Macaca mulatta: one gene and its partner. The protein of the gene in region 1 interacts with the protein of each later gene in a pairwise test. Links are inferred from orthologs where the notes say so. Each region holds a gene or a part of one and is shown in the gene's direction. Other genes may lie near its edges.

Region 1 (5,808 bases):
CTTTGGGAGGCCGAGGTGGGCAGATCGCTTGAGGCCAGGAGTTCGAGACCAGCCTGGCCAACATGGTGAAACCCCATCTCTACTAAAAAATACAGAAATTAACCGGGCGTGGTGGTGTGCGCCTGTGATCCCAGTTACTCGGGAGGCTGAGGCAGGAGAATCGCTTGAACTCAGGAGGCGGAGGTTGCAGTGATAGGCCATTGTATTCCAGCCAAGGCCACAAAGCGAGACTCCATCTCAAAATACAGTATAAATTTAAAAAATAATAAATTAAGTTAAAAAATAGATAAAATAAAATGTACATGTTTCAATTATACAAACACAGAGGTGGTGTATTAGTCTGCTTGGCTGATGTAACAAAATACCATAGACTGAGGTGGCTGTAACACCATTTACTTCTCTCAATTCCGGAGACTAAGTCCCAGATAAAGATGGGGCAGTTTGGGTTCCAGGTGAAAGCCCCTTCTTGCTCTGTCCTCACATGGCACACAAAGGAGAACAAGCTCTTTGTTGTTTTTTCTCTTAAAGGCACTAATCCCGCCATGGGGGACCCACCCGGGTGACCTCATATAAATTGAATTACCTCCCAAAGGCTCCATCTCCAAATACCAACATATCGGGGTGGGGCGGGGCTTTAACATACGGATTGGGGGAGGAGGGAAATAGTTCCGTCCACAGCTGGTGGCAATGCCCAAGCTCAACGCAAGATTAAAGTACTGAATTACAGAGAGCTGTGAGATGAGGTTAGAAAGACTCCTCATACGGAGGTCATCAAGTGCCAGACTAAAGAGCCACTGGGCTTTTTAGATCATAAATCCGGGGGTTGCTTATGGGATGGATTTTGTTAGAGATCACGAGTGGGAACACCATTGGGGGGGGTAATATAACAATTCCTGAGGGAAAAATAAAAACGAACACTACGACAACCACCCTCGAATGCACCACCACCAGGAAGCCTTTCCCGACGCTTCGCCAGAGAGGTTCTCTTTAAACGCGAATTTTTCTTGAGTTACCCTAGAAATGTGAGTTCCCCTCCACATCTCGCCTTCTCTCGTACACGTTCCTGTGCGTTTCCTAACCTTCCACTTCACGGTGCCTGCAGCACGCGGTGTGTCCGCGCGCCCTACAGCCCTGCACCGCGCTTCCGGCGCAGCCGCCCGCGCTCGGCCCCAGGTCCCGCCCTCCCGCATCAGGATGCGCGTACGGCGTTTGTGGACTTGACCGCAGACCAGGAAATCCCGCGGGCCTGGCCACTTCTGGGCGCTAGGACCACAGCCGGCCACCCCACGGACGCCGGGGACGCTCTTCTGGGCCCATTTCAGGGCCGCGCGTCGGGCTCGCAACAACGGCGTCCAGCTGGCCTGAGGCGCAGGGGTGGGGCTCACGTCGTCGGACGGTTGCATGGATTATTTTCGATTGATTTCCGAACCTTCAGGAAGCAGACACGCTCCCCTTCCTTCTTAAGAGATGATGGGGCGGCAGCCAACGAAGGCCCGAAGCCGCCTCCTTTTCTGGGTGGGGAGCTAGGAGATGCTCAGGAGGGACCTCCCCGATTCTGAGCATCATTTTTGGCAGGAGGCTACATATGAGCAGTAATTGACATTCATCATTCTAATGTGCAGATTATGTCAGTACGGATGCTACGATAGAACAACTAAAAAATGACAGAAATGGTTTCACTGTTTTTAAACTCTGGGAGCCTACTCCTTTAAGAGATTGGGCCGTGCGCCAAGCCCACCTGGTCCCGGGGTGCCTTGCGCGGCTCGCCGACCCCCCCCCCCCCCGCACCCCTCCCAACTGGCGTCCCAGAGCTCCCTGCGCGGCGGTTTCACTTCCGGCGGGCTACGTGCGCGCGGCGAGCGACGGGCGTACTTTTGCGTGGTTGCTCCACCCCCTCAGCCTTACCTTCGCCGCCGTTGGGGCTGGAAGTTCTCGCCAGGTCGGTGCCGGGCTAGAGAGATGTTCCCCGGCCCGCCTCGGCTTTGAGGCGAGAGCAGTGTCCCAGAGCCCTTTCATCTTGCTGACGGCGTCGAGCCCCGGGCAGACATGTCCACAGGGTTCTCCTTCGGGTCCGGGACTCTGGGCTCCACCACCGTGGCCGCAGGCGGGACCGGCACGGGCGGCGGTTTCTCCTTCGGAACGGGAGCATCTAGGTAACCGCACTTTCTCACCTTCCTGGGCCGGATTCCCCCCGAGCCCCACCCCCGCAAAGCTCCCCTCGTGTCCCCGTCCTCTCTCTTCCCGCTGGCTTCCTTCCCGGTGAGGCTGGAGAGAAGCACATAATCTAGCCGCCCGGCGTCGTAGGCCTCTCGCTCGCCGCGGTACCCGGGCCCAGCGCGGCCTGGTGAAGTGGAGGGCGGGATGGGTTTTGTGCTGTGAGGTTTCCAGATCCGCGTATAGTTCAGGCATTGTTTGGACCTAGTGAGGTCTTGACTGCGTGGAGGGGCCTGGGGGTCTTCCCCGGAGCTTTAGCGATGCGTCAGTCTTAGGCGTAGAATGAACGTTGAATGAATGAATGAAATTATAGCATGTTGTGGAGTTTTATGGTAGATAATTCCAATTTCATTGCAGCATTTGCGGTTTTGGATATTACGGTGTTTTAATAACTTTGTGGTTGTTTTTAACCAGCTTTTCAAGCTTCTGTGCCACATGGGACCTCATCTGCTTTTGTTAAAACAACAACAACAAAAAACACTTCTTTGCAGTGTTTTTTAGTGGTAATTTTGTGCATTATGTGCAGATTAGTATATCTGACGCAAGAATGTTGTGTTGTAATCACTCAACATTGTCTTTTACTTAAATTACGAAACGTAGGTAGCATGTTCCTCGTTTTTGTGCAACCCATTAGTCCAGGTGGCGACAAAAACATAACTGTCCAGAAAGAAACAAAGTGGTGAGGCATTTATTTTAATGAGAGATTTAAGCTTTAGAACTCAATTTTTTAAAAGATAAAGGTGGAGGGGTTCATAAAATTAAGGAGTGTGCACACTGTCAACAAGATACTTCCTGAAGCTTAAAAGATGCGGCTGTAGATTTAAAAGGCAAAAACTTAAGCATGACCTGCAGTTTAAAAAGGGAGGGAGGAGGAATCACAGGCTACACAGTCAAATTCAGAAATTTGAATTTTCATCCGTACCTCCGTTATTCTTACTCGCTCAACAGCAGGTCCTAATAATTTTACTTCTGCCATTTCCGTTTGTCTTTATTTCCAGTTCCACCACCCTGCTCAGGCTATTATCATTCATGGAACAAATATTTATTGGACAGATTCCCATGTGCAGGGCTCTGTTTTAGGTATTAAGAGTCTTGCTCTCTTGATCCTTAACATTCTTACGAAAGTACTTCTGATTCTTGTCAGATTTTTAACCAGCTGTCTTTCTTGTTTTAGATGAAAACTACTCCAATCAACTTCTTCAATCTGTTCTGCCACATTGTAGCCAGAGTAATTTTTTTTAAAACATTGTCATTGCTCCCCCCTTTAATCATTTCCCGCTATCTTTAGAGTGAAGTTAAAGAAAACAGACAAACAAAAAAACTTACCATAGTCTGCAAGGTCCACTTCTGCTGGAACCTCTGGGTACTCATCTTGAGCCCGTCTTTTTATTTTAGTTATCCAGACCCACTGTTAAAAACAAACACGCAACTACCACCCGGTGCACCACTACCTGCACACAAATAAATCACTGAAATAAAGTTTCCGAGAAAGATACTAACCCCTACTTCATGGGATGCACTTTGATATTTTCTATTCTATTTCTTTTTTTTTAATGTTGTTTATGACTTGAATTAATTTTTATATTTCTCTCATGGTCCTGATCTTAGTGTGAGAAAGCCTGTCCTAGCAACATGACCTTTTCTCTTTTCAAGTGGGCTTTGCCAGCCCCTTCCTTGCCAGTATCAAATGGTCTTTTTCCCCAGAGAGGCCTTTTCTGACCTGTCAGTCTAGGGGAGATTTCTGTTCTCCTAGTACTCTTAGAGTGCTGATCACAATTGTAATCAGTTTGTTACATTTATTGTTAACTTGTTTGTTGTCAGATCTCAGCTCTAGAATAATTAATATCTGTGTTTCTCACTAACTAGAAACTGCCTGAGGGCAGGGTCTGAGTCTTACCACCTCTTCCTCAGTCCCAAGGACAGTGCCTGGCATAGAAAAAGGGCTTTAGTAACAATTTGAATGACTGAGCAAATGAGTTATTAGTAATAAGTTATAAAAAATTACCCAAGTTTTAGAGAGGCTTGGATAAATTAGTGAAAGAGGAGACAGTCTGACATAAATTTGTTAGAGTGCTGGTTGGGAGGCCTGACAGCCCCTAGTGCCACCTGGTGATTTGATGTCTTGAGGTCGGTCATTTTAGGGGAGTTCTCACATCTGGAACTCCTCAACTCAGGAGTGGGTTACCTGAGTTGATGAGTGAGATGAAGCATTTGAATATTTAGCATCAAGTCTGGCACTTGCTAAGTGCTCAGTAAATGTTAGCTATTATGTTAGCTGCCAAGTCCGCATTAGGGCAAGCTGGCAAGTTAAAATAACATTCCTGATGTGATTGAGTCAAGTTGGTTTTTATACAGCACATCCTATCAAGTGCTTGGCACATAACATTGGTTTGAGGCAATAATTGGTCAAGTCTAGGGTAGCTTTTGCTTTTCTTGAGTTTAGTAAATTTCACTGACACCAAAATTTCTCTTTTGCTTTTGTGATAGAGTAAAATTTCATTTTGATGTGTTTCTTTGGCAGCATTTTCAACTTTAATTATGTAATATTTCATAATATCTTCAGTTATGTTGTCAAGACATTAAAAAATATATATATGTATATATATATATGGCACAATCTCGGCTCACTGCAAGCTCCGCCTCCTGGGTTACTCAATTCTCCTGCCTCAGCCTCCTGAGTAGCTGGGACTACAGGCGCCACCACCACGCCCGGCTAATTTTTTTTGTATTTTTAGTAGAGACAGGGTTTCACCGTGTTAGCCAGGATGGTCTTGATCTCCTGACCTCATGATCCACCTGCCTCGGCCTCCTAAAGTACTGGGATTACAGGTGTGAGCCACTGCGCCTGGCCCTTTTTTTTTTTTTTTTTTTTTTTTTGAGGCAGAGTCTTGCTCTTGTTACCTAGCCTGAAGTGCAGTGGCGCAATCTCGGCTCACTACAGCCTCCGCCTCCTGGGTTCAATCGATTCTCCTGCCTCAGCCTCCCGAATAGCTGGGATTACAGGCACACCACCACACCAGGCTAATTTTTTTTTTTTTTTTTGATATTTTTAGTAGAAACGGGGTTTCACCATGTTGGCCAGGCTGGTCTCAAACTCCTGGTTCAGGTGATCCGTCCTCTTCGGCATTCCAAGGTGTTGGAATTACAGGCGTGAGCCACTGCGCCCAGCCACCAATAATGTTTTAGTATCCCCCAGATACTCATTTATTCTACTCCACATTATATACACAACAGTTTCAAAATAACAATACGATCAGACTGACCACAGCGAAGCTAAATGTTTTGGCATATATGGCCCTTTTATGGTTGTACCTATGTTGTCTGGATATAGCCATTACATACTATATTCTTTTGCTTGTCGCGCTCACTTAGGTTTCTGTGTGTGTGATATCTCACTTAGTTTTGGTTGTAGCAATGTGTTTTTAATAATACCTTTTAAATTCAGACTAAATGTTTAAAGATCTGTGGGCCTCTTTTTTTTTTTGTGAGACGGCCTTGCTCTGTCTCCCAGGCTGGAATGCAGTGGTACAGTCTCAGCTCACTACAACCTTCACCTCCTGGGCTAAAGTGATCCTTCCACCTCAGCTTCCTGAG
Region 2 (5,684 bases), on another chromosome or scaffold:
CACTGTGCGCAGCCCTGTGCTTTAAGTTTGATTGTAAGACAACATCCGTTCTTCTTCCTTTTCAACCCAATGTCTGGACTAAGTTTAAAAGTGATTTTCACATTGATCTCTTTGTATACGTTAGTCACTGTCAACCCACCAAAAAGAAGTTATTAAACCACAAAAACAGAAGGCAAAATCCATTTCCTTTCAGAGAATCAATCAATACTTTTAGGTATGACCATTATTACAATCATGAGAATCCTTTGCATTTTCCTGGAATCTTACAGTTTACAATATAATTTTACCTATATCATCTTCAGTCCAACCCTGTGAGGTGTTAGTTTTGTCTTCATTTTACAGTTGAGGAAATCAAGGCTCAGAGAGATTAAAGTATCTATCTACAGTCATTCAATGACAAGACTGGCTCTAACTGACTCTGAATTCAGTGTTTCTTCCACAACACTAAATTGTTTCTTGGCAAGGCTGGAAAGGATGGCAGGACAACCTGGAGCAGGCTTACGAAGGGCGCTGATTCACTTGAGATGGCAAAAACAGCAGGGCTTAGTTGACAGCAACTTGTAAACAAGATTTTTAGAACAAATGCAGTTCATGTTAGACTAAACTATCCACAGGCATCCCACCAATACCTTTTATGTGTGTCTCAGTGACAAAATAGGCCTTCTCACTCAGTACAGGAGTATTTTCTCCCTTAATATTTTTAAAATTCAAAATATTTCAAAATATAATAAAATTGACTAAGTCAGCCAAGTAAAGCCTAGGAAACAAAGACTTTTTTTTTTTTTTTTTGACCTCTTTTGACCTCTGGCTGTGTGTGCAGGTACCAGACGGAGCTGTCCCTGAGGCAGCTGGTGGAGTCTGACATCAACAGTCTGCGCAGGATTCTGGATGAGCTGACCCTGTGCAGGTCTGACCTGGAGGCCCAGGTGGAGTCCCTGAAGGAGGAACTGCTGTCCCTCAAGCAGAACCATGAGCAGGTAAGAGTCCTAGCCCCCAATATCCCAATACTGAGAGCTCTGTGATCCCCCTGAATAGGATAAGGTAGGTCTTGATTTGCTAAGCACCCTAGACCTAACAACATTTTGCTGGTTGCTCAAAACGTACTTTGGGACTTGTTGGGGAATGAGTGACAGCTTCCCTTTTTTACATAAAGGAGTGTGGTAAGCTGACCTATTTCCCCTTGGGACCCAGACATGTAAGGCTGAAAGATCACACAAATATCTTTAAACTACTGTCTACTGTTTGATGCTATCTATTAGCTTCTGAAGAAGTGCCGTGTTAAAGACCGAGACTGGAAGGAGATAGAAAATATTCTTATACTCTGTTTCATCTAGATAACTAGAACTCAAGCTGGATGAATGGATGGATGGATGAATGGATGGATGGATGAACTGAGCGATGGGAAAAACAGAAGAAATGAAATAACTCAAATAATGGTTGACTCAGATCTCATGGCTGAATGCAATACAGGAAATCAGATGCATGTCTCAAACATTAGATGTTTTCATGATGAAAACATGTGTCATACTCTAGTAGTATCCCATGAAATAAATAGGAGGAACGAAACCTGGTTTCTCTATATTTAAGTAGCAACAATTGTAAGCCAATTATCATGCCAGGCTCATCACTGAGCAAAGGGGAAATAAAAAAGAAATGATAGAATCTTAGATTGGGTAGAAATACTAGCAATCATTTAATGAAGCAGCCTCATCATACAGATGAGGGAAGGGATTCAGAGAAGAGGCCAGAATCTCCAGAGGTGGCAGCTGGGCTTCAACTCATGTTTCCTAAGTTGCAATGCAATCCTCTTCCCATTATATTGAACTGCCTCAAAGAGGTTATTGATAGACTTCTTTCTGTGGGTTTATTTCTTCCCTTTTCTCCATTAGGAGGTCAACACCTTGCGCTGCCAGCTTGGAGACCGCCTCAATGTGGAGGTGGATGCTGCCCCTGCTGTGGACCTGAACCAGGTCCTGAACGAGACCAGGAGTCAGTATGAGGCCCTGGTGGAAACCAACCGCAGGGAAGTGGAGCAATGGTTCGCCACGCAGGTGGGCATCTAAGCACATGGCCACTCAGGAACTGAGGCCCACCCTACCGCCCTGGAGGCAGGGTCTGATCCTTTCTCCCCTTGGGTGTTTCAGACCGAGGAGCTGAACAAGCAGGTGGTATCCAGCGCAGAGCAGCTGCAGTCCTACCAGGCGGAGATCATTGAACTGAGACGCACGGTCAACGCCCTGGAGATTGAGCTGCAGGCCCAGCACAACCTGGTGTGTATTGTTCAGCCCTGCTGGTGAATGATGGGAAGTTGGGAGGCAGAGTCCTGGGGACATCCTTGGGGCCACACACTCTCCTTAGCTCCTTGGAACTTGTGAGTTTTTTGGAACTCCATGGAGGAACCCTACAAGGAGCAGCTCTCTGACATTCCTGATCTTCCCCACCACAGCGAAACTCTCTGGAAAACACGCTGACGGAGAGCGAGGCCCGCTACAGCTCCCAGCTGTCCCAGGTGCAGAGCCTGATCACCAACGTGGAGTCGCAGCTGGCGGAGATCCGCTGTGACCTGGAGCGGCAGAACCAGGAGTACCAGGTGCTGCTGGACGTGCGTGCCCGGCTAGAGTGTGAGATCAACACGTACCGGAGCCTCCTGGAGAGCGAGGACTGCAAGTGAGTACCTGGTGGGCGGCACCCCTGCAAGGCACAGTCACTATTCTACTGTAGGATAAAACAGGGACTTTGAAGATAAAGTTTCAGATGCCAACCTGTCTGTAGAGGCCAGAGTTTTATATTACAGCTGTGGGAAGTATTGGATATTTATTGCTAACATTACCCGGGCTAAATATATTTTCTTTTACAAAAGATAGACATGGGACTTGACTGCTTCCTCCAGCAGAGATTTTTTGGATGCTGATGGGCAAATAAATCTTTCTATCTTCAAGACTGTCTTGTCACCACAAAAAGGAAAACAAAACTGTAACAATGATCACTTTTTCTGATTTAAATGGAACTTTCAAATCCTCCATTTCATTAATTCTTGTTAGAATCATCTGAGGCAGCAGAATGGGACTCATTATCACCATCTTATAGATGAGCATTTGAGTGTCAATAGGGATGATGATCAATCACTATCAATACGGCAATTGCCAGCGAACATAATATTTTTACGAACACAATCTTGTGGAATTTTCATAATCCTGTGTGGTTGGTACTACCAGTCCTACCTTACAGGTGGGAAAGCTGAGGCTTAGAAGGAGGAAGTGACTTTCTTGTGTGTCCAGGGTCATAGAAGGAAGGCTGGCATTCCACCTTACATGTTCTTTGCTCATTTCTGCCATTGTATCAGAACTCTGTAGAAGAAGTGATCCAAACAAGGCATGGCTTCCTAGGACATCAGAGAACGATTTCTGCTTGTTTCTATGTTTCTTTGGGTTGAGCCTCCCTTGTTTGAATCACCCTTCTCATGCTGACAGTATAATGCTTCTGCATCCCAGGTTGCCCTCCAACCCCTGCGCCACCACCAATGCATATGAAAAGTCCATTGGATCCTGTGTCACCAATGCTTGTGGTCCTCGTTCCCGCTGTGGGCCCTGCAACACCTTTGGGTGCTAGATACTCTGGGGCCAGCAGGAGTATAGCATGAAGACAGAACTACCATCGATGGGCCAGTTCCACATCTCCGACAACCATCAGCCACCAGACCCCACCCCAAGGCATCACCACAAATTATGGTCTGGAAGGAGAACAAATGCTCAGCGTTTGGGTCTGACTCTGAACCTAGGCCCACTTGATCCTCCTCACCCCAAGCCCTTCTCCTGTACTCAGTTTGGGTTCTGATGGTCAGAGGTTGGAGCTGTGACAGTGGCATACGAGGTGTTTTGTTCTCTCTGCTGCTTCTACCTTTATTGCAGTTCCCCAAATCGCCTAATAAACTTTCCTCTTGCAAAGCAGACATGATTCTCATTTGTATTCATTATTTTCAAAGTGTTGACTCTCTGTGTGCTTCTTATAAAGCCACTTGAAAGCAGAAGGTGGACTTTATAGGTTAATCATCTCCTAAAAGGTCTTCATCACCTTCATTAACATTCATTAAGCACAGTGAGTCCCAGCATCCACTTAGGCCAGCATAAAACAAGTGGGATCACTAGGACAAGAGGCCTCATCTGAATATGATAAACATATTTCTCATGGGACCTTACTCAGTAAAATGCAACGGATAGCATCTCTAGACAGTTCCACTCTTTCTTTTAAGTCCCTACCAGAGGATGACAGAAGTTAATATTTATTGAACACCTACCAAATACCAGGAATTGTGCTACTAATTTTTTCTCTTCCTCACAGTGAGGAAGGATCAATGGCAGGACTGAACCCAGAGTTCACTCTCTGCTTGTCAGTTACACGTAAGGTGTGACTATGAGAGGATAAAACTGATTTCAAACAAGCACCCAGAGTTTATACATCCTCCTGGGGAGACACAATGCTATTAGTGCTCAAAGCATCTTTGAAACTCTCCTTTGTGAAATACTGAATAACTCAATACTAAAAAGCACCACCTTGCCATCTTCCATATTTGAGCAATACCCAACCTATTTTGAAAGTGTTTCTTTTCTCACTTGAATTGTTTAACCATGGGAACTACATATGAATTTTGGGACCCTCCCCCTCAAAGTTATTTAGAGTCAAATTAGGATATTACAAGTCAGGTGTCTGCAAATGCTAACAGTGACCACTTTACTGATGCCTGGCTCCTACTGGTGCCTAACTGATGTCTAACCAAGGTTAATGGTTCCCATCACTGTGCATGTTGTGGTTTGTGCCAAGGCCACTCCCCCAGTCTGCAGATTGTCCCCAGATTAAACAATCTGCTAGTTATGTCTTCTTTCCTTGAGATGAAGCTTATACTATCTCCCCTGCTGTGATGATGCTGGTTCCATCATCACATGTCAGTCTTAAATTCTTAAAATTTTTTTTTTTTTGAGACAGAGTCTCACTTTGTCACCCCAGCTGGAGTGCAGTGGCATGATCACGGCTCACTGCAACCTTGAACTCCCCGGGCTCAGGCTATCCTCCCACCTCAGCCTCTTGAGTACATGGGACTACAGGCATGCGCCACCACGCATGGCCAATTTTTGTATTATTTGTAGAGACAAGCTGGGTTATCCACGCTGGTCTTGAACTCCTGGGCTGAAGCGATCTGCCTACCTCGGCCTCCCAAATTGCTGGGATTACAAGTGTGAGCCACTGTGCCTGGCCAGTCTTACATTCTTGCGCTCTCATATTCTAGTTCATTTAATATCTACTCCTTTGTTGTTGATGTTGCTGCGGCTTAGGCAGGAGACCTTGGAAGATCATCTGAGTGATACTCCATGCTCTGCTCAGAATGTCTTAGACCCAGTTTGTGGACTCTAGCCTCTCTTTCCTCAGGGAGAGTTCATTCCCCGGAGCCGCCTCCAGGCCTCATGCAAATCGCCCTTGTTCACTTTATCCCGGCAGTTCTCCACACATTCTGGGATTACTGTCCACTGATAGTTACCGCTCAGCTGCCTTCACAGGGAACAGTGCCTCCCAAACACCCTGTTGCATGTTTTGTGAGTGAGAGGTCAAAGTTCTCAACACAGTAAATACACCTTGTTCTTAGTGTTCAGTGTATAAAATATTAAGCAAAACTTGTCTCTATGTTTGATGGA

Evidence for each region.
Region 2: the proteins of NUP58 (region 1) and keratin, type I cuticular Ha3-II interact in binary tests that used the Homo sapiens proteins (3 or more experiments, as listed by UniProt). The link is inferred for Macaca mulatta from reciprocal best matches to the Homo sapiens genes NUP58 and KRT33B.

What each region holds. Positions count from the first base shown.
Region 1 is NC_133422.1:5,529,131-5,534,938, forward strand, and holds the start of NUP58 (nucleoporin p58/p45), read left to right. Parts: upstream 1-1,897; 5' UTR 1,898-2,046; coding exon 2,047-2,153; intron 2,154-5,808. UniProt on the Homo sapiens protein: Component of the nuclear pore complex, a complex required for the trafficking across the nuclear membrane.
Region 2 is NC_133421.1:65,705,356-65,711,039, reverse strand, and holds the end of keratin, type I cuticular Ha3-II, read left to right. Parts: intron 1-820; coding exon 821-977; intron 978-1,889; coding exon 1,890-2,051; intron 2,052-2,144; coding exon 2,145-2,270; intron 2,271-2,446; coding exon 2,447-2,667; intron 2,668-3,491; coding exon 3,492-3,609; 3' UTR 3,610-3,947; downstream 3,948-5,684.